Linked DNA regions of Elephas maximus indicus. The protein of the gene in region 2 purifies or fractionates together with the protein of the main gene of each other region. This does not show direct contact. Links are inferred from orthologs where the notes say so. Each region holds a gene or a part of one and is shown on either strand. Other genes may lie near its edges.

Region 1 (15,325 bases), on a different chromosome or scaffold from region 2:
TGATTTCTACCATTTTTCTGAATGGGCAATAATCCATTCAATCAAATGAAGATTCAATAAATTCCTAATTTATATAAAGAACCTAAGAGGTTAAAAGTAGTAATTAAAAACACAAATTTTCTAAAGTACACTTAGTGAAACGTAAAGATATTAACTGAACCAACAATGACAAATGTTTTAACCCACTTGTTAGTTAACACAGCAAGAAGATACACACAAAATGTTTATTCAGTAAGTTTGTGGCAAAGTCTGTGTATCCTACCAACAGGAAACAAACTACCTCTATTTCTAAAATAATTTTTATTAACAGTGGTACTTACCCTTCTTTTGAATAAAAATCCTAAGCAGTGGGTTGGCTGTTGAAACAGCTTTGTGGTAATTATCATCGTTATTTATAGGTAGTAAGTCCCCATGGATGTCTGCATAGCCTACTAAAACGTCAACATTGGGTATCTTATGAACATGTTGCAGTAATCCATAGAACTCCTCAAATTTTCCAGGTTTTGATCTTTCCAGTGAAAAACGACGAAATTCAGCTCCAAACTATAAATACAACAAACATGTAAAGTTCAAAAAACAAACATAAGTAACAGAAAATGCCGTAAAAATATTAACAAACAGTATTCCCCTTAAAGCAACAGTCTATTGTCAGAGAAACTTCATTAGCAGGAGATAAACCTGCATAAGAAAGGCGCAGGAAGGTACCCTCTCACTGCTGCAGCTCTGAGGGGCGTTCCCTTCAAGAGAAGCAGTTCAACTCAATCCCTGGGGTACCTGCCTCTCTGGGGACGTTCCAGCACAGTGACTCAGCTCAAACCCTGTCTGCAGACCACACCCTGACAGCAGTACTCTCCTCACAAAGGCCACAGGGTACCAGAGATGTGCCCAAGTCCTTACTTTGAGCATTAACAAAAAAGCATCTAAGTTTCCTCCCCCATAAAAGGAACTACGATTTCACAGGATGTGGCATGGATTAATAGCAAAATATACAAAAAGGGTTTTGAGCTCCTTGGCATAAGGTACTATTCTATCGGAGGTAGGTACATAAAAAATAGGCCTAGAGCTAAGAAGCATCTTCCCTATGTTAAAGCCAAAAGAAGCTTCACTAATATATCAAATATATGCCCTACAATTATCCAATTATAGAAACAAATGTTTATGTAGCTGGCACAAAGCTAGGCCCTAGAGATTTCAAGGCTCAAGCTTGCTCCAGAAACTCACCAATTAGTGGGTAAAGAGAATAATTACACCATAGAGGTATTAAGGGATCACACAAATGGGGAGGATGGCAACCTCCATCATACCCAATGTTTCTCTTCATAGTTCTGACACTCAGATTGGCTTCCCCACTCCAGAATCACACCACTTGTCTCCAACTGCCAAATCACTAACGTCGTGCTTATTCGACACACAAAGGACTGGCTTCATCCAGTCCATAATAAGCACGATTTATAACTCTCTATGGGACTACCATGGCATTTCCTCAAATGTGGAAACCTAAGAAAGGCTCATCAGCCTTCCTCAAAAAGTTGTCCCAGTCACTTAAATTCTGGAAATGCTACACAGTCACCGTCTCAAGAATGGCTGTGCAAACCAGCATATTAAAGGCTGTTAACTCCCAGAGTTGATTTTTTAAAAAAAATTTAAGCAAATGCTTCCCAAATGTGTCTGACCACTGTACTCGTTTTCCCTCTAAGTATCTATTGTTAGTAAGAAACTCTAATGTACCCCTGAGACAGGGCCTTAAGCACCATGTGGGGAAAGTCCCTACCAGAATAATTTCAGCAGTTTACCAACATGTCAATTCATTTTCCCAAGGGCCCTCCAGGATATCTGGATCCACTGCTTTTGCTGGTCATCCTCCTTGCTTATACCCAAACTACCCGCTCATTTTAAAGTAAAATTCAAACACACTAAAACCACCTCTTCCCTCTAATAAATTTAAAAGTTTCCAAAACACGTTGCTGAAACATAAACACTGACATTTATCAAGAAAATAAGGCGACTCATACCTAAAGCTCTCAAAAAGTTTAGTCACACCTTCACATTTCAAAATAAACAAACACTCAGGGAACACCCTTCATATCAGAGTTAGTCTTCTGATGTTATCAAAAGTCACGGTTTCTCCGCATCTTCTTTACTCTGGCATCACAACGTGGAATCCCTACTGCTTTCTGACTCACCCACAGGGTTTATCATTTCCTCTGGTACATGAATGGGAATGTTGTTGTTCTTAGTTGCCTTATGTGGATTCTGACTCATGGGGACCCCATGTGTGCACAACAGAACTCTGCTCCATAGGGTTTTCAAGGCCGTGACCTTTCAGAAGCAGATCTCTAGGCCTTCCTTCTCAGGTGCCTCTGGGTGGGTTTGAACCACAATCTTTTGGTTAACAGTCTAGCACTTAACCATCTGTACCACCCAGAGACTATAAATGGGAATGACATTTAGTAATTGAACATTTTAGGGCTTCGATGTTTTTGCAAAAGCTCTGCATGAAAATTCTTTGCTCTACGTTCTTCTCTTGCTAAAATGGTATGATTAAAAACAATGGGAAACTGTACAGCTTCACAGTAGTTGTGCCTTTTTGCAAATGTTGGCAGGAAAAAAACAACAGAAATCGTTATGCTTCTTGCAGCAAAACAAAAGGTTAAGAGAACTTTTTACTACATGAAGTAAATACTAGGAGTTAAAATTCAGACCCAATCAGCAACTATTCACAAAGGAATTATTCACTGTGTGCACCATTTATTTACAACTGTTTTTTAGCCCCATCTATGGGTTGGGTGGGAGTTTGTCCGGCAACAAATTTTTATGAGTTTGTTCTAGCAGCCCTGGTGGTATAGTGGCTAAGAGTTCCGCTGCTAACCAAAAGATCAGCAGTTCAAATCCGCCTGCAGGTCCTTGGAAATCCTATGGGGCAGTTCCACCTTGTCCTAAAGGGTCACTGTAAGTTGAACTGTCCTGGCCATCCTGAATGTGTAAGGATTCTCCTTCCCCAGCATCAGATGGCATTCCAGAAATGCAAACCTAATGTTAATATTCTGTTTGCCCAGGAGTCACAATGAAAAAGAGGAAGACCCTCAAGAAGATGGACTGACACAGTGGCTGCAACAATTGCAAGGATCGTGCAGGACTGGGCAGTGTTTCTTTAGTTCTGTCGTACACAAGGTTGCTGACTTGATGGCACCTAACAACAACATAATTAACAGTTAGGAAGTTTTATGGTTCAAACACTGTTCCAAGGTTGAAGGACATCATTGTGTTTGTTAAAAACTTTCCTAACTCTGGAGAAGCAATTAGGAAGATAAATCAGTTACCAAAGGAAAAAAATCACATGGCAGCACTATCACCAATCTCACCCTAGTGATTCTGCGCCGTCCGTTATTTTCTTATCTGCACCATTTTCTCTCTCCATGAGCGAAGATAATAAAGTTGAAGCTACTGTTTTCAATGCTGAAGAAAAAAATCCTAAAGCGTGGGTCTGCACACTACCAAGTTTTGTTTACCAGCTTAGTGATCAGTTTGTAAAAAGCTGAGATAGCACTAAAGCAGTGTAAAAGGAAATACTGTTTCGAAAATATGTCCAGATGACTAAATCTCTGATGACTAAGATGACAACTGCTTCATTTAACACATATTTAAAACATAAGGTGTCAGAGACATACTACATGTCCCTGTGTGCCATGCCGAGTTACCAGCAGCCAGAATAACAGTGGGACCACTTCATTCAGTGCCGGCTCTCAGGATGCCTTGATTCTGTTAAAGAGATCCGGCTCACTAAAGACGTGTACTATGGCAGGTCCGACACACAACATATAGTTTGGCCACAGTATATGAAAGATTCACAAATGAAGAGCAAAAAGCCTGAAGTTCCAGTTCCCAAGTGTTCAAAGTTTCCCAGTACCAGAAATAACTTTCATTGTAATTATCAGTGCACCTCGACTGAGCCCTACTATCAAATCCCTACTCATTTTTTCCTAAGATAAAAAACTAAAGACTCACCACCAAGATTAAGACCACAAATTGAATTTTAAGATTAGGCAGTATCACAAGTGCTTTTCTTTTCTTAACCTCAACTCCCACAAACCCAAACTACATTTATAACAAATCTGGGACGAGAAAGCCCAACCAATGGGCAGGGACACTACCACCACCAGACTGCTAGAGGAAAAGCTCTGCAGATTTTGAGTCATCTTAACCCTTTAGTTCAAGCAAGCCACTTCAATGTGCTACAACGGTTCCAAGGAGGACACAAGGAAGAACCTATTTCTTAAATTGCTTATAATTACAGAACGGTTCCTTAAACTAGTGCCTATCCTGATAGGTGAGTTCTTAAAGTCGCAAATAAAGTTTAAAAATGAACACATTTACATATTCTTGATGTGGTTCTCAGTTACAGCAACTTACAGAACTGTGTTTATCAGCCCTAGACAATAAAAACTATTCTACCCACAGGCTCCTGGAAACTTTCCTTAATTCCACTGCACTTCGCTCAAATGGCTTCTTGATTGTGCATTCTAACTAGTTTTACATTCAACGTGCTTCGTTATTTTTGAAGGTGATATGCTTTTATTTTTCTATTCTGTGTTCTGCTCTTCCCAACTGTATTCTAAATGTGCTCAGGGCCTAGCGAGTGAACTTTTTGTATTCTGCAGTGCCTGAAAGTGATTCTCTGAAACAGCTTTAATCAAGGCTTTACGGTTTTATCACAAAACCAGAGCTTGGGAAAGTCATAACCCTTCTGAGCCTCAGTCTTCTCATCTGTAAAACGAGAATGGGGCTAGATGATCTAAACTCCTTTCGGCTCTTCAATTCATGGAATGCTTGCTGAAAATGTTCCCGCAGCTGCCGATCACCTTCAAATTCCAGTTCAAAACCCCCTTTGGAAAGCATTCCTTAACTAATCCCTACAGACTGTCCTGCTCGCCCGGCCTTGCAATTTAGGAATTCAGTTGATACGGAGGTAATTATCCCCAGATTGGCATACCGTTCGTAGGTCAAGGGTGAAAGCACTTGATGTGAAAAGGTAGAACGACGGAATGAAAAGAGCATCCAGACTCAAACTGTAAAGTACCACTCAAACGTAAGGTGATAGTGCAAATTTTACAGATTAAATGCATACCAAAGTTAGTGCTAGAAAAATTCCTTGCAGGAAACATAGCTCACTTGAAAAGGGCTCTTTAGTACACTGGGCTCTTTCCTTTGCCACCGGATGATCCCCTGAGCCACGAAGGGGTAACTTTATATGACCATGGGATATTCCAAATAGCTTCTACTCGTCAACCCAGTACGCAGAATTTCCCCCAAACCTTTCCTCCCACACTGTACTCAAATGCCTCCGCATCCTCGGGTACAGATTGGGCCTCACTCTCATTCTGGAACAGGACTGAGACTAAGTGCTCCACTGGGTCGTCCTATCAGGGCCAGGAGCAGATACAAGCCCTCGCCCGTCCCCTTCTCAGCGAGTTTATTATCCGCCACCGCCTGTCTCCAAGTCCCACTACCCCGCACCCCGCCGTCCCAGGCACCGGGCAGCTCCCCAGGCGGTCCCTGCCGGGCCCCTCGCCTCCCCCGAGCCGCGTTCGCCGCCCTCCGCCCCCGGCTCTGGCCTCCCCGTGTCCCGGCCCCGGCCCCGCCGCTTCACCCTGCCGGGCCCCGCGCACCTTGCTCTTCACCTCCATGGTGCCCAGGTAGCCGCTGCCCGCCCCGTGCCGGTGGCTGCGGTTCATGCTGAGCGCCGAGCCCGCGGCGGCCTCCTCCGGCCGGGCCACCGCACAGGAGAGCGGGGAGCGAGTGCGCGGCGGGCGGGCTGGGGGGGCGGCTGTGGCCCGGAGCCTCCTCACTGGCACCTGCACAGGGGGCGGCGGCGGCTCCCGTCTTCGCCCTGAGCCCCGCTCTGCTGGCTCCTCACGCGGCGGGATCGAGGGTCGGACTGGCGGCGCGGAGGGCGGGGACGCGGCTCCCTCCCTCGGGCCTCGGCGGCGGCCGCGACGATGCAGGAGGAGGAGGAGGGGGCGGAGCAGAGGCGACGAGCGCCGCAGCCTCGCTCCCGGCAGCCTCCGCCGCGAGCCCGCGGGCGCGTCCCCGAGCCCAGTGCGCGCGCTCACCTGCAGCCTCCGAAAGGCTCTGCAGACCGCGCTCCGCCCACACCCAATGGGAAGCGCGCACCTGCGCCCGCGGCGCCAACCAATCGATACACGCCTCGCTCAGCTCGTGGGCGGGCCGCCTACTCGAAAATTCCGCCCACCGAGGCGTAATTGGTCCAGCGCTGCGAAGGAGGGGCGGGATCACCTGGAGCCGGGGGCCTCCCCTCTGGACTCAGCAGGAGAGCCGGGGGGCGCATGCGCAGGCCACGGAGTTTCCGCCCAGGGCAGGGAGGGTGCGAGAAGGCCGGCCGGAAGCGCGAGCGCACCTGGAGAAGGGCGACGGTGGGGGGCCTCCTGCGCACGCGCGGGTGCGCCGGAGCGCGCCTGGTTACTGAGGGCCCGCTGGGAGCTCGCGCCGCGGGACGCGCGCCGACTCCCCCGACTCGGGTGGTCGACCACGCTGAGGCTCCGCGGGGCCGCTAGCTTCCCGCCGGGCCTGCCCCGCCGCCAGTTTGGGTTGTCGCAGCTTCAAATCGACGCTCGGCCTCCTGTTTGCGTCTTTTAGGCGTCCAGATGCAACTCTTGGTTGCAAAAGCCAAGTTTTCCCGCCTCTGCAGGAGAGACTGGTGGTGAACCTCAGGGCCCTCGGGGCTGGGTCTTGTCGAACAGAGTTTCTGTGCCCTGCACCATTTTAAGTGCGTCAGGTCCCAGCACTGAATTGGCGCCGGGAAGGGAAGGAAGGTGGGCTCAAGTCCTAGGTGCTCTCTTCGGGCCCAGCCTCCGAGGGCTTTTCCTAGGCCGACCCTTCTGCGCTTTTTTTCGGTTTGTTTCTCTTTTTAACCTCTGAAGGCTCCCTTTTCCCACCTCAAGCCATTTCTTGGCCATTTTGCTGTTTCCCCAAATGACAGCGTCTGGCTTGTGTGTGTTTCCCGAGCAACGGAGCTGTGTCCCTGAGTAACGAAAGGCCGTATCCTTTTCTCTAAATGCACCAGAGCTGGGATTTTCCCAGGCAGACCCTGTTTAGCATTAGCCAGGCCGGGAAGGTGGGACCCTCTGAAAATTATGGCTGGAGAAGACCCCCTCCCCAAGTCTCCCCCTCACGAAGTTTTCCCCCTACGCAAGGGCTACCAAGGCCCGCCGTAGGATTGCTGCTTCTCGAAGGGCTGTTGAACTTCTTGTGAGCTAGAGTAGGGAACAGCCATGCCGCGACTTGTAGTCACAGCCCAATCTGGTGACAGACACAATGTGTGGTGTGTGTTCCTGAGACTGACAAATGTTAACCATGGAAGGCCAGGAAGAAAGATCAGGCAGGAACTCACAATTCAGTCCTTCTGGAACAGGGATTTCTAACCTGAGGTCAAGAAGAGGGTCTTGGGGAGCTGGCCTGGTTAGCATGCTTCATTCCAGCTGAGTCCTGGGGGCCTAACACATCTGCTCCTACCGCCCTATACCTCTTCTTCCCAGAGTTTGTGACAGTTTCAGCTTGCCTTTTTTTTTTTTTTAGATGCCTTTGAGTTTTTTAATGAGTAATCTTCTCCACCCTAAAATGAAAGCTCCCTAAAGGCAGGAACCACATCTGCTTTTCTCACTGTTGAGGGTATAGCACAATGCCTGACTCTAGCAGGTACTCAGATACATCTCTGCTGGGTGCTGGGGCTGAAGAAGTGTGGTTTCTGTATGCTAACTGCCCCACCTTGGTTTACAGGGTGAGAAAGAAGCCCGTCTTTCTTCATGGGAGGGTGGAGGTTCCAGTTGCGCAAAGTTTGTACAGAACTTAACGTTTTCATGGGCATTTCTGGGTGGAGGTACAGATGGAAAGGATACCATCCCAAGCTGAATAATAATAAGGCAGCCTTTTCACCCCCTTGTTCAAAAGTACCTACTATGTTACTCATATCTGTCCTATAGGGTCGCTATGAGTCGGAATCGGATGGCAGTGGGTTTTTTCATGTGATTCAAGCTGAGCTGGAAATAAAGATGTGATGTCACCATGGGGAAGCCTCAGGGCCTAAACTGTAACTCTCTTAACTGGACTAGTACAGCAGTTGTCAAACTTTTTGATCTCAAGACCCTTTATACACTTAAAAATTATGGAGGACCCCAAAATATTTTGTGTGTGTTACGTCTATCAATATTTGTTTTATTAGGATTAAAACAAGTATTTAAAACACAGGAATACAGAAGCACACAGTCCTGTAGTCATCAGAGTGTTGATGCACATGTCTTGTCCCTTCTGGAAAGCTCCATTGTGTGCTTGTGAGTCAATGGGGGATGACGAGAAGGGCAAATGACATCTTACAATTATGGAAATAATTTTGACCTTGTGAATCCCCAGAGAGATCTCAGGGACTTCCAAGGGTCCCTAGACCACACTTTGAGAACCACGGACTAGAAGCTACGTCACCACCTTGAGGGCTCTTCATTCACAGCATTCACCCTTCTCTCTCTATTTGGCAGGGCCTCGCCCTAAGAGCGGGGGGCCCTAGCTCTGTGTGGGCGATTGTTGGGTGGTTGAGTTTTATTACTGTTATCAGTACTGATTTATCAGGCCGTTTAAAAAGGAAGTCAGTAGATGCCAACGCACCTGCGTGGGCTCTGCATTCTTGGAGGTGTCGTCATGCCTCTCTCCCCTCCCCCGGGTGTGGTATCCCTCCTTACTTGGACTTTCCTTTCTAGAAGGAAGGGCCAGGCCAGAGTTTGCTCTGAGGTCTGCGTCACAAGTGCGCTTGGGTTGTGTAAAGGAGGAATGTGGAAAATAGTTTGAATTTGATAAAGGTGCTGTGAAGGAGGGGAGCCCGTTCATTCCTAGAGCTGGTATGTCCACAAGTTCATTCACAGGGCCTGAATTCCAGCCTTTCTTGGGAAACCCAGAGAAACAGCATAGAGAAGGGTTTATATTCCTGTTTACTATGGTTTGAGACTGACCCTAATCTTATTTCTCTCCATCATCCCTCCCCACCCCCAAATCCTCAAGCTAAAGCTGATCAAGACCTGTGTGTGGAATGAAAAGCTAGTCCCATGCCTGGGAGATTAATACTCAGTGGGTTAGGGAGATAAGTAAGGTGAGTGTGTGATGTTATGGACTGTAAATTATAGGTTCACAAAGTAGTTAGCTGGGAGTGGGCTATCAGAAATCACCTCACCCACATACCGTGAGGCTTCCCTGGCCCATCTCCACCCTCTGAATGAAGTTAGAGCGTTTTTACCCCTCTGCTTTATCTTCCCTTTAAATGCTTTCTGTCTTTAAGTTCTACAAATATCCTGTTGTGTTCATTTGAAACCTACACTGTGAAGTCTCAAGAGTTGTAATTTTCCACGATTAGTTTTAGTAATTCACATCTTACATAATACCTTTTTCATTCCTTCCTCTTCCAACGCTTAGAATTAAGGAGAGAGAGAGAGAGAGATGGCGAAAAGTCATATATCCTGTTGGTGAAATTTTTTTCAAGGAATTCCTCTTGCCAGCTCTTTTTCTCCTTGATTGCTCAAGCTCATTTTGATGGAGCTAGTTAATAATTCTTTGAGAAAGAGTTGAAGTGTATACTTAGAATCTCATACTACTCACCAAAGCATTTTAAGCCCTTTAGCAGAGGTGGAATTAAATCACATGATCTGTTTTCTCGTCAATACCTCATAATACTTTACTGCTTTGTGTGTGGGGCCTGGCTGGTGGTGCTCACAGCCACGGAAACTAATGAATTATCTCCTGATTGAAGAAGCTAAATGCACTTTCGGGTAAACCCTATCTTTATGAGAGGCAGTAGGTGCCGGGCTCTGTGCGTGTGTCTTACCCTTGACTTGGTTCAGCCACAGGTTTGCTTTCTGACCTTTTCCCTCCCTGAGACTCAATTTCTCTGTCTGTAAAGTACAGGCACTGGATGAGATCATCTCCATAAACCCTTCCAGCTCTTAACATTCTATGGTACCCCAGGGATAATGGAGATTGATCGTTATTTCAACATTACCAGGGATGAACTGAAATGAAAAGAGTAATCTTTCTGTCAAGGTCAACATGCAGGCTGCAGTATTCAACCAAAATATCCCAGTTCCTACAAGGTATTGATAAAGATGATGATAGCTAACATTTATGAGGGACTCACCAAGTGCCAGGAACTGGGCTAAGTACTTTTCCATGGATTATCTCATTTAATTTTCAGTAGTATGAAGGTTGTTTATATTTGGAGGCAGGCAGATTAATTTTTTTTTTTTAAGCTGATAAATGTTAACTTGAGGTCTTGCTCTGCTCCTTGCTGGCTGGGTGACCTTGACTTTGTTCCCTTAACTGCTCAGAGCCTCATATTCCTCCTCTATAATTTTTTTTTTTTTTATAAAACAAGATAATGCCTACCTCATTGGTTTGTTGTGGTGATCAGATGAGAAACTATACACAAAACTGCTCTGCAAGCCATAAAGTGAGGTACAAATATTAGTGGTTATTATTTGGCAAATAATGTTGCCTACTATTTTAGGCTGGGTTCTCTAGAGAAGCAAAATCAGTGAAGTGTGTATATATATATATATATATATAGAAAGAGAGAGAGGGAGATTTATCTCAAGGAAATGGCGCACACAGTCATAGAGGCTGGCAAGTCCCAAGTCTGTGGGTCAGTTGTCAGGCTGGAGGCTTCTCCTGACTCACATAGCTACAGGGGCTGAAGAACTCAAGATTGGCAGCTAAGATGGCAGGCTGCTGGCTTGTGGGCTATGGTGGCTGTTGAGTCCAAGATCAGTAGGTAAGATGGCAGGCTGCTGGCTCACAGGCTGTGGAGGCTGAAGAATCCAAGATGTGTCAGGCAATTCTGCAGGTCTATGGCTCAAGTCCCCAGAACCGGAGGTCAAATGATGACAAGTTGGATACAGGATCCAGAGTGAGCAAAAGCCAGTGAGCTTTGCCACATCATCTATATATATTGGATATAGGCCACACCCCTGATGAAACTCCCCGTACAAATGATTGGCTGATCACATCCTGGAGGTGATTACATCATATCACAAAATGGAGGATAACTACATCATGAAATAATTGCCAAACCACTGAGAATCATGGCCCAGCAAGTTGACCCACAACCTTAACTATCACGCCTACCAAAGCTTCTGAAAAACTTCCTTGAAATAAAATGGAAATTTGTAATAAACCATTCTTACTGTTTTCACGCAGGGCAGCCTTTTAATGGACATCTTCTCTTAGGCTGAAAAGCAGCCTAGAGTGGTCGTTAAGAGCATGACTCAGCCAAATGCCTACATTCAAGTCCTGCCTCTTCCATTTACTAGCAGTGTGCACTTGAGCAGGTTCTTGACTTCTCTGAACCTCCATTTCCTCATCTGTCAAATAAAGATGATAAGATAATTAATTGTCTTCATTCACATAAAAGGACTTGAATAGGACCCAAAAAGAGTAAGGATTCCATAAATGTTATTTGTTATTGTCATTATTGCTGTTTAATTCTTTTTATTATCCTCATTACCCAACATAATGTTCTTCTTGTTAGTTGCCCTCAAGCCGACTCTGACTCATGACAGCCTCACACACAACAGAAGGAAACACTGCCTGGTCCTGTGCCATCATCATGATCATTAGTATGCTCAAGTCCATTGATGTGACCACTGTGTATTTTGAGTGTCTTTAACCTAGGGGGCTCATCTTCCAGCACTACGATGTGTCAGACAATATGCTGTTGTGATTCATATTGTTTTCACTCGCTAATTTTCAGAAGTAGATCGTCAGGTCTTTCTTCCTAGTCTGTCTTAGTCTGGAAGCTCTGTCAAAACCTGTCCATCGTGGGTGACCCTACTGGTATTTGAAATACCGGTGACATAGCTTCCAGCTTCATAGCAACATGCAAGTCACTATAGTATGATAAACTGACAGATGGTGGTGGGCTGCCATGATAAAAAAAAAATAGTAGTCATTAATTTATCAAGTATTTATGAAGCCCCAGCTGTGTATATAACACCATGCTTAGTGTAGAGGTAAAGTTAAAAAAAAGAACAGAGATATGATTCCTACCAGTCAGCACTTCATGTTCCACATACAGATAGATTCAGCAAACATTCCTTGAGTGCCTACCAAGGATCAGACAGGGAGGTACAAATGTGAATAGAACAGAATTCTTGCCTTCAAGGAACTCAGTCTAGCTGAGAAGTCAGACCATGAAGAGAGAACTACCCCATGTCCTCTAGAGGTGGTGGGCCCAGCAACCTAAGGGAGTGGATGTTAGAATTGACCATGGTGAGGAGGGGTGGGTTTCACATCCTAGCTCTACCACCATCCCACTGTAGAACTCTGGGCATGTGTCTTCACCTCTAAAGCCCACCTTTCTCAGGGACAAAATGAATATGGTAATAATACTTACCTTCTTTGACTTGGAGCCCTGGTGGCACAGTGGTTAAGAGCTCAGCTGTTAACCAAAAGGTCGGCAGTTCAAATCCACCAGCTGCTCCTTGGAAATCCTATGGGGCAGTTCTAATCTGTCCTATAAGGTCACTATGAGTCAGAGCTGACTCAATGGCAACGGCTTTTCTTTGACTTAGTAAGTACTTACTGAGTGCCTATTATGTGCCAGGCACTACTCTCGATGTTAAGATACAGTAGTGACAAAGACATGACCAAAACCTGTGTCCCTGTGGAGCTTACACTCTAGTGGGCAGAGACAGAATACAGAAATAAATTATTCAAATATATGTGTTAGATGGTGATAAGAGCTTTGGAGAAAAAGGAAGCAAGAGAGGGCCCAGGAGGCCTAGTAGTGAGGTGGAGAGGGAGGAAGAAAATGTTCAAATACGGTGGCAGGGACGGCTTTCTGGAAAGTTGGAGATGGGAAAGTGGTCCATGTGTTCTCTGGGGCCGGAGGACCCTCCAGGCTGGGCCTCAGGATGGGTGTGGGGAATGAATTCTATAAAGCCTGCTCTGTGCCTGGCACACAGCGAGGGCCCAGAAGACACCAGCTGCTATTTTAAGCTATTTCTCGGTGCTAAGGCCAGGGTATGAAAGAGAGGGGTGGGAGCCAGAAGATAGTGATTAAGTCAGCCCCAGGGGGTCTGGAGTGTCTCATGGGTGAAGTGACTTTGGTTGGCGCTAGGTCTGAAGAATGAGTAGGAGTTTGCTAGAGGCAGTTGGGGCGGGGGAAAAGGCATTCCAGGGAGCTCCACATGGAGGAGTGGGGGTGGGGAGAAAGCCCTGTGTGGTCAGAGATTGGGTGGGGCATGGGTGTGCAATGGGGGCTCCCTCTGGAGATGAGGGCTAGAAAAGTAGGTGGGAACCTGCTCAGTTAGGGCCTCAAAGGCTGTGTGGTGCTGGAACTCTCCTGAAGGCTTAGAGCTGGGGAATGAAGAGATCAGATTTGAGTTTTAATAATATATACTGAGGTGGTCGCCACTGGGGGCAGCAAATTAGTGAATCTTTCAAGGAAGGGTGTGATTAAATGTCAAAATGAGTGGTGTGTCCAATAGGATTTAGGGAGGAGGGAGGGCATCCATTCATTCAATTATTCACTCATCCATTCAGCAAATATTTATTGCACCCCAACTACGTGCCAGGTGCATGCTAGATGCTGGTGAGTACACTGACTTTGCACAGACAGTAGAAAGTGCATCAGGTGAGGGTGGGGGGCGGTGTGTGTCATAAACGTGATTGGTTTCATGGCCCAGGCTGGCAACTGAAAGAGGGATGTGGCAGGGTGGGCGTTGCAGAGGACAGGGAGATCCTGCCCCGTGTAAGGACTCACCACCAGCCTGTGCGGCTGTGGCTGTGTGACTGCAGGCCCCATACTGGGCAGGTCTTCTGATTCCCTAAGAGAGGCTGGACAGTTTTATGAGACTTCCTTATTTTTAAATGTTGGCAACTTGTCAGACAGGGTGCAGTGGGTCGAAAATAAATGGAGTGTGTGTATGTGTGTATCTGTGTGAGTGTATATGTGTGTGAATGAGCCCTGGTGGCACAGTGGTTAAGTACTCAGCTGCTAACTGAAAAGTCTTCGGTTCGAACCCACCAGCCGCTCCACTGGAGAAAGATACAACACTCTGCTTCTGTAAAGATTTACAGCCTTGGAAACCCAATGGGGCAGTTTTACTCTATCCTATAGGGTTGCTTTGAGTCAGCATCAACTTGATGGCGATGTGTTTGTTTTGTGTGTGTATCTGCTTAGGATGTTGTTATAGACTGAATTATGGCCCCCCAAAATATGTGTTGTAGATCCTAACCTCTATGCCCGTGGTTATAAACCCATTTGGGAATGTGTTGTCTTTGTTATGTTAACAAGGCAGGATTAGTGTAGACTGTATCTTGAGTCAGTCTCTTTCGAGATATAAAAGAGAGTAAACAATCTGGTAGGTTGAGATGGGGAAAGAGAGATGCCCAGCCACATGGTAATCACCCAGGAGCAGAAGCGCAGAAGAGACAAGGACCCCCCTCCAGGGCTGACAGAGAGAGGAAAGCCTTTGCCTGGAGCTGGCGCCCTGAATTCGGAGTTCTAGCCTCCTAAAATATGAGAAAATAAATTTGTTTGTTAAAGGCACTGATTTATGGTATTTCTGTTATAGCAGCACTGGATGGGAAACGCTGGTGACGTAGTAGTTAAGAGCTACGGCTGCTAACCAAAAGGTTGGCAGTTTGAATCCACCAGGTGCTCCTTGAAAACCCTAAGGGGCAATTCTACTCTGTCCTAGAGGTCATTATGAGTCGAAATCGACTCACCACGTACAGGTGCTGTTCTAAGGGTTTTACACGTACAATCTCTTCATCGCATTTCTTATATAAAGTGATCAATTCATCCCCGTTTACAACCTTGAAAGTCCCGCATCCTCAGAAACCCCTCAGTCTTTGGCAAACTCGATTTTATCTTCACAAAAACTTATGGACATAGGTACCATTATCCCCCCTACTTTATAGATAAGGAAACTGAGGCACAGAGAAGTTGATAACTTGTCCAGGGTTGCACAGATAAGTGGCAGACCTGGTACTCAAACTCAAGCAGGTAGGTTCCAGAGCCCCCACCCTTCTATACTGCCTTTTATAGGATCAGGCAAATTTAAATGATTGGCTTACACATGTTTCTGCCTTTGAAAAAGAGACATCATTCTGTTTGGGAGCAGAAAGCGTGCCTATGTCTTTTTTTTTTTTCTCTTGAGACAATCCTACAGGTAAAAGTCAGGTAAGAGTCAGGTTGCAAGGGTTGTTGCCTTCTAGGAGCCTTCTAGAAACATGATGCCCTCCGTCGGATCTGCCTCCCAGCTCCAGC
Region 2 (14,638 bases):
AGCAGATGTGGATGTTCCTGCTGGGCGTGTGCTCAGGTGCGAGCGGCCGGGGCAGGGGTGGGGGGCCTGGGGTCGCCGGGGGAACGCGGGGAGGAGAACGGGCGGCCGGGGCGGGCGGCCGGGCCGCGTGGCGCTGACCCACGTCCCTCCTCCCCAGCGCCCGGGAGCTGCTCGCCGCCCGCGCGCGGCCCCAGAAGCTGCCCCAGCGCTCTCATGGCCCCAAGGACTTCCTTCCCGACGGCTCGGAGGCCCAGGCCGAGCGGCTGCGCCGATGCCGCGAGGAGCTCTGGCAGCTGCTGGCCGAGGAGCGCGTGGAGCGCCTGTGAGCGGTCGGGCGGCCGGGGCGGGGTGGGCGCGCGCTGGCGGGCTCTGCGACTCTCGGGTGGGCTGAGACGACCCCTCCCCACGCCTTGCCAGGGGCAGCTTAGTGGCCGCAGACTGGAGGCCAGAGGAAGGCTTCGTGGAGTTGCAGTCTCCTGCGGTGAGCGGTGGGGATGGGGCAGGGGACCCGCCTTCTCTGCCCTCCTGGCTCTTCTGTGACAGACGCTTTCTCTGGGCCTCATGCAGGGTAAATTCTGGCAGACCATGGGCTTCTCACAGCAGGGCCGGCAACGGCTTCACCCCGAAGAGGCCTTGTATCTGCTGGAGTGTGTGAGTGGGGCCCGGGAGGTCGGGGAAGGATTTGGGACCAAGGAACCCAAAGGACACGTTGGGAAAAGTATACAAAACTGAGTTTCCAAGGAGTTTGTAACCTGGCTTCAGGAGCAGGAGACAGAGTGCCATATAGAGAACAGGGGTTCCAGACCAAATGAGTGCCACAGACCCCTTTTCTGGGTTGGCCGTATTTTTGTAGTGATGTTGGGGAGAGAAGGCATGGCAGAGCCAGGAAGCTACCCCATTTGGCTGTGCCAGTGCAGAAGATGGCTCACAGCCAGAGCTATTGTCCCCCTCTTCCAGGGCTCCATCCAGCTCTTCTACCAAGACCTGCCGTTGTCCATCCAGGAAGCCTACCAGCTGCTCCTGACTGAGGACACTGTGACTTTCCTGCAGTACCAGGTATCTGCCACCCTCTGCAGAGACAAAAGCCACTCATCTGTCAAGTCAGTGAATATATATGCAAGTATTTACAAGTAACTACAAAGTGCAAGGCACAGCGCTACATGCTGGGGCCCCAAGACAAACAAGCATTCTGCTCTCATTGTGCTTACATTCTAGTGGCGCCAATTTGATAATAAGTAAACAGACAAATGAATTATTCACCTCAGAGAGAGTTGAGTGCTAGATAGAAAATGAAGCAGAGGGGGACAGTGATAGAGAGTGGAAGATGCTGATTTAGACTTGGAAGCCAGAAAGGTATCACTAAAGGGCTAACGTCTAGAGAGAGACTTGTTGAGAAGGAGCAAGCTATGCAAAGATTTGGGGACAGAGTACTCTGGGCAGAGGAAACAGCAAGTGCAAAGGCTCTGAGACAAGGCAAGCTGGGGTGGGGGCAGGTGGTGTGGAACATAGACATGGCGGCTGGCACAGTGTACACAGGGAGGGGGACATGGGGTCAAGTAGGCAATTGGATACACAAGCCTGAAGGGCAGGGGAGGTCAAGGCAAGAGACATAAAATGTGGACTTCATGAGCACATGGATGCTATTTAAAGCCACGAGACTGTATGAGAGTATGGCAAGTGTAGAGAGCTGGGTTTCAGACCTTGAGCTCTCCAACATGAGGAGGCTGGAAGAAGGCTGATGGACCAGAAGCAGACTGAGGAGTGTTCGGCAACAGAGGAAAAACCAGGAGAGGTGGTGGCATAAAAGCCAAAAGAAGGTCTTTTGAGGAGGAAGGGGTCGCTATGTCAAAGGCTGTAGAGTTCAAGCAAGATGAGGGACATCCCTGGATATGTCCCTTTAACATGGTTACACAGACACGAGGACAAACATGTGGCTCTTCAGAGACCACTCCCACCCCACCCATGTCTGGAGGTGGGAAGAATGTCCACCACTTTCTGTCATCTTGTCTAAGTCATAGTCAGGAGCTTCATTTTTGTCAGCTTTGATATCAAGTTATTCTGGGGCATGGTTCTTTTTTTGGTCTATTGTTATCAGCTTTTAAGTCAAACTACTAAAAGTCCTTTCTTCCCAAAGTAAGATAAGTGAGGAGGACAGGAATTCAGAGGTGGAGATCCAACTTTGGGAAGTGTGTTTATAATGGACTGTGGCCCAACCACTACCAGGGTTTGGAATCTGCACGTGTGCAGGAGGGACAGGGGAGGGGCCTGAGAAGTAAGTGGCTTCTGTCTCGAGCAACTATTTGGTGTTTTCAAGAGGAGACATTTGACCTAAATCTTTTCTTTCTTTTGAGGTCTTCAGCCACCTGAAGAGACTGGGCTATGTGGTTCGACGATTCCAGCCAAGGTAAATCCCCATCCCTTTTCCCTTCCATTCAATCTAACCCTGGGACCCAGCTGCCTAGCCCAAGGTGGGAAAGTGGCCTCTACCTGGAATCCTTGCCTGGAGCTCTGGAACCTTCCCTGGACATGGGTTGACCTCTGCTGGAAGAATCCGAGTTATTTCAATTTATCAAATTAGGACCCACCTCAGCTGGCTCACTCCACTGGTGATGACGAGCACCTGCCAGGCATGGCAAGCTTGGAGATGTGGCCCTGAGCAGTGCCCAGCACTTAGTAGGTGTGCCGCAGATTTGTTGAGTGAAGGAAGGACTGAGTGGGGAGTTTAGAAGGATTTCACATTTCTTATATTAGGCTAGATGGTCTTTTCTCGTGTGGCCTCTGCAGATGACCCCCTTAGTAATCTAGTACTGCTAGGAGCCACAGAGCCCCTCAGACTTGGAGCGGCAAGTGATACAGGCTTTGCAGTTTCACAGTCTGTGACAAAAGCTGTGCAACAGGCACGTCCTTTGATTTCTGAAAGGAGAGTATACCCTAAGGAAGTAATCGTGATGTGTGCAGAGACTGATGGTGAGAACGTTCATCCATTCATTCGTCAAATGTTTACTGAGTACTTACCGTGTATCAGGCCTTGTGCTAGGAGCTGAGGACACAGCACAGAGCAAAATCTCTGCCCCCATGGAGCTTGCGTTTACTGGGGAGCTAGCACAGCACAGCATCACTTCGCAAGGCTAGTGAACTTAGAAACAACCCAGGAGTCCAACAGTGGAGACATAGTCACCTACATTAGAGTTGATCCTTCAGAGCAGCCCTGCCTGATAAAACTTTCTGCAATGATGAAAATGGTCTCTACCTGCGCCGTCCAATGTGTGTGCCTTATGCATCCACAGAACTAAATGTTTAACTTCATCATAAGCCAAGCCAAACTTGTTACCTTTGAGTTAATTTCAACTCAGCGAGTTTTTGTAGCGACCCTATAGGACTGAGTAGAACTGCTCCATGGGGTTTCTAAGGAGCGGCTGGTGGATTCAAACTGCCGACCTTTTGGTTAGCAGCCAAGCTCTTAACCACTGTTCCACCATAGCCACTTGTGGCATATTGGGCAGTACAGCCTTAGAACAACAACAAAAAAAAAGAACAACCCACGCCAGAGAAGAATGCTGTGGCGGTGAGGGGCCGTGTTTATATGACACAAACCGGTAAGTACTCGACAACTGGCTGAAAGGTTGGTGGTTTGAACCCACCCAGAGGCTCCTTGGAAGACAGGCCTGGTCATCTGCTTCTGCAAGGTCGCAGCCTTGGAGCGGTTCTGCTCCGCACACACGGGTTCACCGTGAGTCAGAATCCACTTGATGGCAACTAAGAATAACAAAATGCTAGAACAATGTCATTTGTATTAGAAAAAACATGGAGAGAGAAAAACACATGGAGTGTGTGTGTGTGAGACACAACGTTAACAGTGGTTATCTGTGATTTTTATTTTCATCTTTATTTTCCTGTATCTTTCAAGTTTTCTAGTTTCTCTTGGTTTTTGTCACAGTGATCATTTCTTGCTGGCTCTGCAAACTCATTACCGTCAAGTCAATTCTGACTCATAGCAGGGACCCCAATTCCAGGGAACCCTCTGTTCAAAGGTGGCACTGGTGAGGCCCAGAGGCCCAGGCAGAGTGGCATGGCTAGGCCCTGTGGCTGCTCCCATATGTCCTGAGTGCAGGTCTGCCCAGGCTCTGTGGCTTTAGGCCCCGCCCCCCACTATGGCCCCATGACTTGTCCTCTCAGCCCCATCCCCTGCCCAGGCAGAGAAGGTGGATCTGTGACCCGCCCCATCCTCTCCCCACAGCTCTGTCCTGTCCCCTTACGAGAGGCAGCTGAACCTGGATGGCAGCGCCCAGCACCTGGAGGATCGGAATTGCAGGAGGAGGAGAAGGAGCTCCAGCTCTCAGTAATGCTCCCCCTGCCGCTCCCCCAGCCCCCAGTGAGTGGTGGGGGTGCTGAGCTGTTGGGGGAGTGCTGATGTTTGAAGCTTCGGCAGCTCCTACGGTGGCTCGGGGTAGACAGTGGGGCACCTGTCCCTCCCAGCACACACTGGCATGTGTGCACATCAGCACAGCAGCTGCCTTTCCTCCCCGCATCCCTCAGGTCCCTTCCCAAGAAGCCCAGGACCCTGGAGAGCCCCCTGCAGGAGGTGAATGGGACACCTGAGAGCCAGGCAGCCTCAAGCCCATCTCCCTGCGGCTACAACAGCCCATGCCCAGAGGAAAAACCCCATGAATCAAGCCCTAGAAAGGACCCTGAGCTTCTAGGGTCCTTGGAGCCCTGGCCTGGCCTGGCCAGGGACAGGGTGGAATGCAGCCAAGAGAGTGGCAAAGTAGAGAATGGAGCCATGGAGGTTTGTAAGCCACGGTGGAACTTTGAGCAGATCTCCTTCCCCAACATGGCTTCAGACAGCCGTCACACCCTCCTGCTTGCCCCAGCCCCAGAGCTGCTTCCAGCCAACATCTCTGGGCGGGAGATAGACGCCGAGTCCTGGTGCCAGAAGCTGAACCAACGGAAGGAGAAGCTCTCCCGACGGGAGCAACAGGCAGGGGCCCGGCACTTCCGGGAAGATGTCAGCATGGATCCTGAGGTGCAGCGCTGTTCCAGCTGGCAGGAGTACAAGGCACTGCTGCAGAGGCGACACCTGCAGAAGACCCAGAGCTGCCCTCCACACCTGTGGGACCAGCCTGTCACCCCCTTGCTGAGCCCTGGCCAGGCAGACTCCCCAGGTACCCCCACTGTGCCACAGCCCTGCCAGCACTGGTAGCGGAGGAGTCACAAGACTTTGAAAGGGGCGTGGGTTGACCAGGACTGAGCCAGGCTAAGGAGGATGGGGGAAGAGACTGCCCGGTGGAGTGGAACCCACAAGGACTGTCTACTCCAGGGCAGCAGCAGAGGGCTCAAATGGGGACATTAGAGATGGTTGGTTGGCGACTGAGGAGAGGCGAGGAGGAATGAAAACTACGACCACGCTCTTAAAGTCATAAACTAGATACAAGATGAATGTGATGGCTTCGCCACCAACCAGCTGGGCCTCCCAGTCTCATCAGATTGGAAGCGGGAGGCGCCATCTTGGCCACATCGAAGGCTTACTTTCTGCTCTTGTTGTCAAGTATAGGGAACCCTCAGGGCAAGACTAGCCCTGGCTGACTGCATTAACGGATTTAGAACGCCTTAAAATCCTTATGGGACGTAGAAGATTTTAAGGGACCAGATTAGGGCTGCCAGGTAAAATAAAGACATCTTGTATTTTTATTTGCTAAACTTTTTTTTTTTTTTTTTTTTTTAAACCTGGCAATCCTAAACTAGCTGGCAGATTCAGAAGTGTTGAGAGATTCCATAAATGGTTGACTGATCTCCAAACCTTTGTTTTCACTGTCCTTGTAGCCGCGGTCCTACAGCATATCTCGGTGCTGCAGACGACACACCTGGCTGACGGAGGGGCCCGGTGAGTTTGCATACAGCAAAGTTGGGCATCAGTTGGGACTCATTCCAGGGCCCCGTACCCACCTGCCTCGCTCTGAGCTGAGCAGCATCTGATGTTCGCGTGTGTCTAGCAGGAAGGGAGGAACCACAGATGGGGTGGATTTATGCCAAGGGTTCTGAGGTAGGGCAGCTCACCTCCCCGCTACCCCTCATACCTCCCCTGGACCAGGCTGCCTTCTGGAACCAGTGGAGGGAAAAGGTGAGATGGAAAGGTGGGCAGGAGAGTCCCTGTTTTCTGAAGGTTTCTTACTCTGTCCTCAGGCTGCTGGAGAAGTCGGGGGGCTTGGAGATCAGCTTCGACGTTTACCAGGCCAGCGCTGTGGCCACTTTCCGAAAGAATAACCCTGGCAAGCCCTACGCTCGGATGTGCATTAGTGGGTACGAGACCAGCAAGTGTGTACCACTCCCGGTTCCTTGTGAAGCCATGTGCACCTTCTCTTTACTCCCACCCCTGGCCAGTCCGAGAGGAACCTGAGCCCAGAGAGGTTAGACAGCCTCCGTGTGAGGCCACACAGCCTGTCAGTGCTGTTGGAACCCAGGTTTGCCAATTCTTAGCTCCTCTTGGGATTTAGGGGTAGGCTCTCTCCTGAGTCACTTTAGTCCCAGGCTCCCCCAGCAGAAGGAATGAGAAGCAGAGGGATTTACAGGCTAAGAGTGGTGAGAGCCTCCCTCTTCTTAGCCCCCTCCCCAACCAGGGCTCCGGTTCCTTTTTGGAGCGCTTATCAGAGCCCCAACCAGGGCTCCGGTTCCTTTTTTGGAGCACTTATCAGAGCCACGCTGCTTGCAGAGAAGGCAGGCCAGGGGCCAGCATTCTTGTACCCCCAACCCCGGCTGGGGTCTCAGAGCTCACAGGTGGGCTGTGCCAAAGTCTCAGTCTAATCCTTCTCCCTGCAGATTTGACGAGCCAGTCCCAGGCCTCACCACCCTTAAGCGGTTGTCCTACCAGAGTGGGGATGTCCCCCTCATCTTTGCCCTGGTGGATCATGGTGACATCTCCTTCTACAGCTTCCGGGACTTCACACTGCCCAGGGACCTGGAGCAGTGACCATGCAGCTCCTCTCTCAGGGAAAGGCTGGGGCCTGTGCTTCAGACCTGGACTGTCTGCTCTCAGGGACTGTTCCAGCATCCTGTGCCTGGAGCCACAGGAGCCAGTCTGTGCCCTGGCCCTGGTGTGTGATGCTTGCAGGAGAGCGAAGCCTTGCCCCTCTGCCTGGCCACTGCAGCGCTTCCACGCTCCAAGCCGGAGGTTCCTGCTTTGCAGTGACCTCCTTGGGACTCAGGACTAGATTTCAGAGACCCAGCAAGGTGAGGCAGAAGAGAGGACTCCGTGCCTTTAACCCAGAGGGTGCCTGCTTCATGCGATAAAGCCAAAGCCATTAAAAAGTTAACTCTTCCTGCTGTGGCTGGATATATTGGATGAGGCAACTCAGTCCAGGCCCCGCAGTGCTCCCCTCCCCCACACGCTGTTGCCCGCGGGGCTAACACAAACACACGAAGAGCTTGCTCTGGTGCGGGACCTAAAGAGTGAGGGAAGCCAGCGGGAGGCCGGAACGCGTCCCGCCCTTTTCGGGGATGGGAAGTCACAGACCTCTAGCTGGCTTGGGTTTCCGAAGGGTAGTTCGAGGAAGGAGTCCGGGGCTTAGCCGGGTCAGGGTAGAAGGGTGGCCTTGTCGGTGAGGTTGGAGCCCTAGACGCTCCGAGGGGCCGCCTGCAGGCGCGCAGAAGACGCGCCCCCTTCTCGCTCCCTAGGCCTCGGGCCGGGCTTCCGCGTCCCTTCCGTTCCCGCCCCTCGCCACTCCACTGCACTCCAAGCCCTCCCTCGCTGGTGCTAAAAACTCCAGCCGCTGCCCCTCGGTGTCGCGGACCCCGCCGCCACTACGACAGAGTGGAGGGGGTTCTTAGGGCCCTGTCCGAGGGGAGGTGCCTCGCAGCAACGTCCCCATAACCGCTCCGGGATCCCGAAACCTGTCCCGCGTCCTCGGGACGCGGCTCTGATCGGGCTGGGCCCTCCCTCGGCAGTTGGGCCGGGCTGTTGGAGGGACGGCTGCCCTCTGGAGTCGGGCCGGGAGGTGCCCCCGGTGTCTCCGCGCGTTCCGGGAACTATTTCCTCCTCTGGAGGCGGCGGGACACGGGGTGCGGCGCCTAGTCCCGCGACGCAGGTACGCGCAGGTGAGACCGGGGCGGGCCAGCGGGTATCGTGCATATTCACGAGCCTAGCCCCGCCCCGGGCCCTTGGGGCCGGCGATTGGCCCGAACCTGGCCCTGCCCCGCGGCGCCCCGGCTGCACCCTCGCCCGGTCATCGTAGGGGCGGGGCGGGGCGGGGCGGGGGCGGGGCCGGGCTCCGCGGGCAGGCGGCTGGCTCTTTATGTAAATACGGCGGCTCCGCCCTGCCCGCCGCCGGAGGTGAGCAGGAAGGAGAGGCCGCCAGCAGTCCGTGGGCCGGCGCGCGGAGCGAGCGGGGCCGGCGGCGGGCGCCGAGGACGCAGAGGCCTCGGGCGGGGCTGGCGCGGGGTTCCAGGTGAGACGCGGAACCGGGACCCACCTGGCCGGGCCCGCCCCCTTGGGGCGCCCGCCAGAGGGGCGGGGAGGCCGGCGAGGGCCGAGACCCCCGGGCTTCCCAGGCCGGGCGGGGAGGACTGCACCCAGGTCCGACCGCCGCGCCCTAGCGCTGGCTCCTTTGGGAGAAAGACACCTGTAGAAAGTGCCGCCGGGAACTTCTCTCTGCCTAATCCTCCCTCGATGACGGAATCTGGGTTTCGGGTTTGCACAATAGTGTTGGCTTTGGGGAGCAGAGAAGCAGGTGCCCGGCCCGGCTGGGTGCGGGGACACTGCAGCGGAGACGGGGCCCCCGGGTCTCTGACCCCAAGTGCAAGACTCCTGACCGGGAGGTCGGCGAGGCGCGTCTCCGGTTGGCCCTCTGTCCCCGAGCGGCGGCCGGAGCGCGTAACCTCGGCGGCTTAGCCCCTGCCATCTGGGCCCGTTCCCTCCCAGGCCTTTGTGCCTCCTAATCCCCGGTCGCAGGAAGCCCGCCGGAGGGACTTCGGTCTCAGGGCCTTTCTCCGCCGGAGGCGGTTTTGGACACCTTTAGGCGGAGACCCGGTCTGTTTTCCACGCCAGCCGGGGCGGGGATTATTGCTCTGTGGGACATTCGGACTTGGCGAGGGGTGGAAAATTCTGCCTTGCCAAAGAAAGCGTGCAAAGTTTGTTCTTGGTTTGGTCCAGCTGGACGGTTCGTGGACAGATTGGGCCTTGGCTGTGGAGAGAGCTGAGCGTAACCAGGGGAGCCGCGGTATGGCCTCCTGAGGCCCTCACCTGAGACAGGTGAGCTTTGGGTGAGGCGGGCAGGGCTTAGATTCAGCGTCCCCTCCCGTGGGGATGCATGTGCTGATGCAGGGCTTCTGCGACCAGGCTCTCGGGACCGTCTGCAGGAGTTTGCAACTCAAGATCCAATCGTGCTGTGGAGGGGATTCAGAGCAGGGAGGGAATGGGCGTGTCAGGAGGACAAGGAAACCCGAGTGGGAAGAGCCCAGGAGCAACGCTGGAGAAGTGCTTGGCCCAGCCCAGGGGGAACCAAGGTCGAAAGTGGCCTTTGAGAAAGATCCTAGATGCGTGTGGGCTGGGCTCAGCTCCGGAAGGGACCTTGGAGAGATGTTTTCGCTTCCTTTATTTAGTGCATGTGGGACTCAGGTTTGGTTTGCTTAAGTGACCTGCCTGTGGCAGCCAGGACCCAACTCAGCTCTCGGAGCCCTGCCCTCTTCACCGAGTTTTGGTTGAGCCAGTCTGTGGGAGGCCACCCTGGGCCCCCAGTCCTCCCTGAGACAATGGAGCATAGGAGAAAGCTGCCCTCATTTGGTGACAATTAATAGTTGTGTTTCTTTAAGTAACCAACACTTGTTTCTTCTGTTTTTGTTTGTTTGTTTTTTATGTATTATGTATATTAATTCGGAAACCCTAGTGGCATAGTGGTTAAGTGCTACGGCTGCTAACCAAAGGGTCGGCAGTTCAAATCTGCCAGGCACTCCTTGGAAACTCTGTGGGGAAGTTCTCTGTACTGTAGGGCTGCTATGAGTCGGAATCGACTCCACGGCACTGGGTTTGGTTTTTTGGTGTTTTATACATCAATTCAACAGTTTCCATGTGTACAATTCAGTGACACTGATTACATTCTTTGAGTTGTGCAACCATTCTCACCCTCCTTTTCTGAGTTGTTCCTCCGCTACGAACATAAACTCACTGCTCCCCTGAGTTGCTGTTGTCAGTTTGATCCCATATAGATAGATCTTGCTTGAAAGAGCACAATGCTCAAGGCAGGCATTTTTTACTACTTAAGCTGAACTATTGTTTGGCTTAGTTGTGTTTTTAAAGAAATAGTAGCTTTTAAAAGCTGTGATAAAATGTACATAACAAAATTTATTATTTTAAAGTATACTATTCAGTGGCATTTACTACAATCAGCCGTCATCGCTGTCTGGTTCCAGAACATTTTCATCAGCCCATTAACACACACAAACAAAACCAATTTATGGTGACTCCTTGTATTCCAGAGCAGAGCTTTGCTTTGTAGGGATTTCAATGACTTGTAACCTTTGGAAAGTAGATCACCAGGCCTTTCTTCTGAGGTGCCTCTGGGTAGATTTGAACCGCCAACCTTTCAGTTATTAGTCTAGCATTTAACCATTTACACCATGAGAAAAGGCTCATAATACTAGATGGTCCCTGTTTATTTAAAAAAATCAAAAAGGTAATAGAAGTGCATGGCAGGAACAGTCAAGCATTATATGAAAGTATAAAATAAGGGAAAATAATTCTCCCTCAAACATACCGTTCATTAAGTTTTTTAGCATCTTGCCAAATACCAGGGGAGTTTTGAGTCGTGGCCTGGCTGGTGTCTTGCTGTGTGCCCTTGGCTCAGTCACTTACTGTGTCTGCCTCAGCGAGCTCTGTTTGTACACATGTTGACGAGAGGGTGAAACATATCAGGAACACGTGTGGCCCAGCACATAGCCAGTAAGGCTGAACTTCACCCTGCAAGCCTTTGGGCAGCTCCTGTGCTTTTTGGAGTTGCCTGGTGTGTTGTGAGGGAATTTGGCTTCTCCATCCGGGGATCAGCAAAGAGGTTATAATTTTGTGATCTTTGAAAGCCTCTGGAGCTCGAGCTTTTTAAATCAGGACATTGTTCCTGGGGGGTGGGGGGCAGAGGTAGATGGCAGTGTCCTCTCTTAATGTCATATATGTCCCCACGGCCCTTGCCACTTCTGCTCCTTGGGCTTCTGACCTGTGGACCCTGGCTGGGCCCTTCTTGCTGAGGCTGGAGGTAGGGAGGAGGGTGTGCAGAATCTCCAGTTGGCTGTGTGCACTGTCTGTACCCTGTCTTTTTTTTGGGGGGGGGGGTGCTGGGTGGCAACAAACCCCTGTGCCGCTCCATCGTCATTAAGGAGATTTTTGGGAACTCCGTAGTGCCTGCTTTCAACCTCGTTTAGGGAGGGGGTGTCCTCATCTGAGAGGGGGGACTTCCTGCTCCCAGAACCCTCCCATCACTGTTAAGTGGTGCATGGAGCTGGAATGTTGGGAGCCTCTGCCCTCATTGTGACCCCTGCCTGCCCCACTGGGGACACTGAGCATCCCTGGCAGAAGTGTCCAAGAGCCGTGTGGGGAGGCTTGGTTTCCTGGGGGATTATTCAGCCTTCCTGGGCTTTCTAGATGTGCCAGAGGTAGCTGTTTGAGACACCTGGGTTGGGGACCCATGGCCTCTGCTACTGGGTTGGCCGCTTTAAGCAGCACTGGCCATCTGGACACACTTACCCTGAGTACTCAGCTCCCAGTTATCTTCTTATCTCATTCGGGTGATACAGTTATCAGGGCTCCTTCTGAGTCGAGGCAAGCCGGGTCTGCTTGGGGACTTGGTTTTCCTCTGCCCAGGAGTAGGTCACAGGGAAGAAACGGGGTGAGGCCAGGAGATGGGCTTTCCCCGATGGGGCCACCAGCACTGCTTGCCCTTCCCCTGGAGACACTCCCCATAGCCCAATGCCAGGGCCTTGGCCAGCTCCCTTTGGGGTAGCCTTGCCTCTGAGAGGAAGCAGGAGTCACCCCACTCCTACCCCTTCCCAGGAACCACAGTGAATTCTTGAGCTAGGAGAGGCTCACGGGGTGTGGGGTCAGGGAAGCTCCCAGGCACCTGAGTCTACCCTTCAAGAATTCAGCAGAGACCAGAGTCTTCTCTGAGTCTCCTGACCCACTGTCCCAGGGTCTGGCAAGAGGGACATCTGGGTACGGGACGGTGACTCTGGTCAATAGTATTATTTTGGGATTCACCTTGCCAAAGAGTTACATGTCCTGGAGCCTCAGTCTAAGTGAGGCAGGGTCCACGAGGGTGCAGGTATCCCCAGCGTGCGTCCAGTGGCCTTTGGCTTGTCCAGAGTCTTTGAGAACAGAGTGGGCAAGTACCCCGCGGGACTGTGTGGAACCCCAGCCCAGTGCTCTTTGCGGCCAGTGGCTTCTGACGGAAGACCTTGTCTAGTTATTAATCCTAGCTGTTCATTTCAATAAGTATCTATTTGTGCTTCTTGTGTGCAAGGCATGGGATAACCTGTAAACAGAGCCAACATCTTTGCCCTCATGGAACTTACATTCTAAAGTGAGTGGGAAGTGTGAGCCTAAATAAAAAATAATGTGTTAAAAGCATTGTGAGCTATAGAGAGTAAGGAGATCTAGAGCAGAGAATTTGAAACTCCCATGGTAGGAAACCCTGGTGGCGTAATGGTTCAGACCTAAGGCTACTGAAAGGTCAGCAGTTCGAATCCACCAGCTGCTCCTTAGAAACCCTGTCCTATAGGGTGGCTATGAGTCGGAATCGACTCGACGGCAACGGTGTGGGTGGTAGGGGGCAGATTGTAATTTTGCAAAGTGTAGCCAGGGTGGGCCTCATGCAGAAGGTGACCTTTGAGCAAAGACTTGAAGGAGGTGAGGGGGCTCTTTAAATAGTATTTGAGTGTTTCCTGTGTTTCAGGGTCACGGAGCTCTGGGGACACAACCATGAACTAGGTAGGCACATCTGTCCCCCCTGAAGATGACATTTTCTAGAAGCTCCTTGGGACAGCTGTTCAAGTCTGGGGGCAGGTAGGAGGGCCCACCCACCCCAACCTCAGGCAAGTTGGCCTTTTTTCCCAAGATTGGCTTTGCTTTTCCTCACAGTTAGCCTCACCCAATTGGTCACTTCCCTGGAAAGCCATTCGTGTTGTATTGCAGAAGGGACCTGGGACCCCAGAATGGGAGTGGGGAAGTGAAGATTCATGGGGAGCTGGGGCTTCACTCCAACTTCCCCACCCCATCCTCATGGGCCCAGAAGTGGCAGCAAGGACAGAAACCATTTAGGAGCCTTGAGTGACTCTCCCAGGGTTGTGGGGTGGGGCTGTGGTAGAGGTGGAGACTGATCACCAGGCCCTCCCTGGGCGGGTGAAGTTTGTTCTGGCTGCTAACTTCAAAAGGTCCGTCCCATCAACCTACTGTTTGTTTTGTTTTTGTGTGTGCATAGGTATATACATATATATGTATATATATATGTGTGTGTATATATGTATACGTATACACACATATATGTATATATATATTTCACTGTGGTAGACATGTAATAACACAACTTTTAGCATTTCAACCTTTCTTACCTGGACATCATTCATCATATTGTGCAGCCAGCACCACTATCCATTTCCAGATTTTCCCACCACCCTTAACAGAAGCTCAGTGCCCCTTAAGCAGTAACTCCCCCTCAACCTAATCTCAGCTAGCCCCTTTGTCCTGGGAGAGAGACCCGAACTGAACAGATTGGGGTTCAAATTGGGATGTGGCCGCTTCCTAACTGCTGGCCTGATGTCTCTCTGAATCATTTATTTCATAAGTAATTGTCATAAGAATTAAATAAGATGAAGCATGTGAAGTGCTTAAAGTAAAGCGCAGCACATAGAAAGTTCTCAGTTCCTTCTATTGCCTAACAGTGATTTCTCTGGTTTCCCCAATACTCTTTAACTCTCTATCTCTCTTTCTCTCTCTGTGTGCGTGTGTGTGTGGTCTCCTTGGTCCCACCTCCATAGAGGTACCCTTTCAGCTAAGGCTTGGTTGCAAAGCTGCTGGTCAGAGGGCTGCCTGTGCTGCTGGGAGACTGGGTTTCCCAGGGCAACACGGGCCCTTGCAAAGCAGCCCTGGGCATCTGGGTTGGCATGGGCAAAGGCCGAGGGGTCAGCAGCTGCCTCTGTCGCTTAGAGCCCTGCCCTACCACTCCCATTGGTAGGTGGTGCAGGGGCGTATTCACATCCGTCAGCCAGGAGGCCAAAGCCACACATAGGCCGCACACAGGATGCTGGGGAAGGCAGGGCAGCTTCTTTATCAGCAGCAGGGCTGTGGGGAGCATGAGCCAAGGGGAGACAAAACGAGCACTTGGATGTCATGTGCACTTGTGTGTTGGCTGCTGGAGGTCACGGACATGGGTGGAGGCTGGGTGTGGCTTGAGGGGCCTTTTCTCCCTTGGGCAGGAGGAGTGTGGAGTTCTACCACTGGGTGTAGACTCTCCTAGCAGGTCAGTGGGGCTGGCCCATCTCACACCTCCAGGACAGACAGTCTGGCTCAGCTTGGCCAAGCCTTGGTCTCATGGGGACAAGTTAGCCTAGGCACTCCAAACAGTGCCAGCCCAGGCTGCCCACCTCCTTCATCCATCCTGGCACAATC

Evidence for each region.
Region 1: the proteins of LLGL2 (region 2) and PARD6B purify together in Homo sapiens (affinity purification with mass spectrometry; 7 studies listed by BioGRID and IntAct, counting the BioPlex papers as one, with this or other methods). This does not show direct contact. The link is inferred for Elephas maximus indicus from reciprocal best matches to the Homo sapiens genes LLGL2 and PARD6B.

The regions. Positions count from the first base shown.
Region 1 is NC_064843.1:18,916,104-18,931,428, forward strand, and holds the start of PARD6B (partitioning defective 6 homolog beta), read right to left. Parts: upstream 6,107-15,325; 5' UTR 5,733-6,106; coding exon 5,667-5,732; intron 544-5,666; coding exon 321-543; intron 1-320. UniProt on the Homo sapiens protein: Adapter protein involved in asymmetrical cell division and cell polarization processes. Probably involved in formation of epithelial tight junctions.
Region 2 is NC_064837.1:65,822,548-65,837,185, forward strand, and holds the start of LLGL2 (LLGL scribble cell polarity complex component 2), read left to right. Parts: upstream 1-7,744; 5' UTR 7,745-8,078; intron 8,079-8,328; exon of another isoform or gene 8,329-8,438; intron 8,439-9,142; exon of another isoform or gene 9,143-9,241; intron 9,242-14,638. Other genes in the region: TSEN54 (tRNA-splicing endonuclease subunit Sen54), read left to right, coding at 1-36, 158-322, 418-481, 568-651, 958-1,056, 2,352-2,404, 4,238-4,339, 4,537-5,162 and 3 more. UniProt on the Homo sapiens protein: Part of a complex with GPSM2/LGN, PRKCI/aPKC and PARD6B/Par-6, which may ensure the correct organization and orientation of bipolar spindles for normal cell division.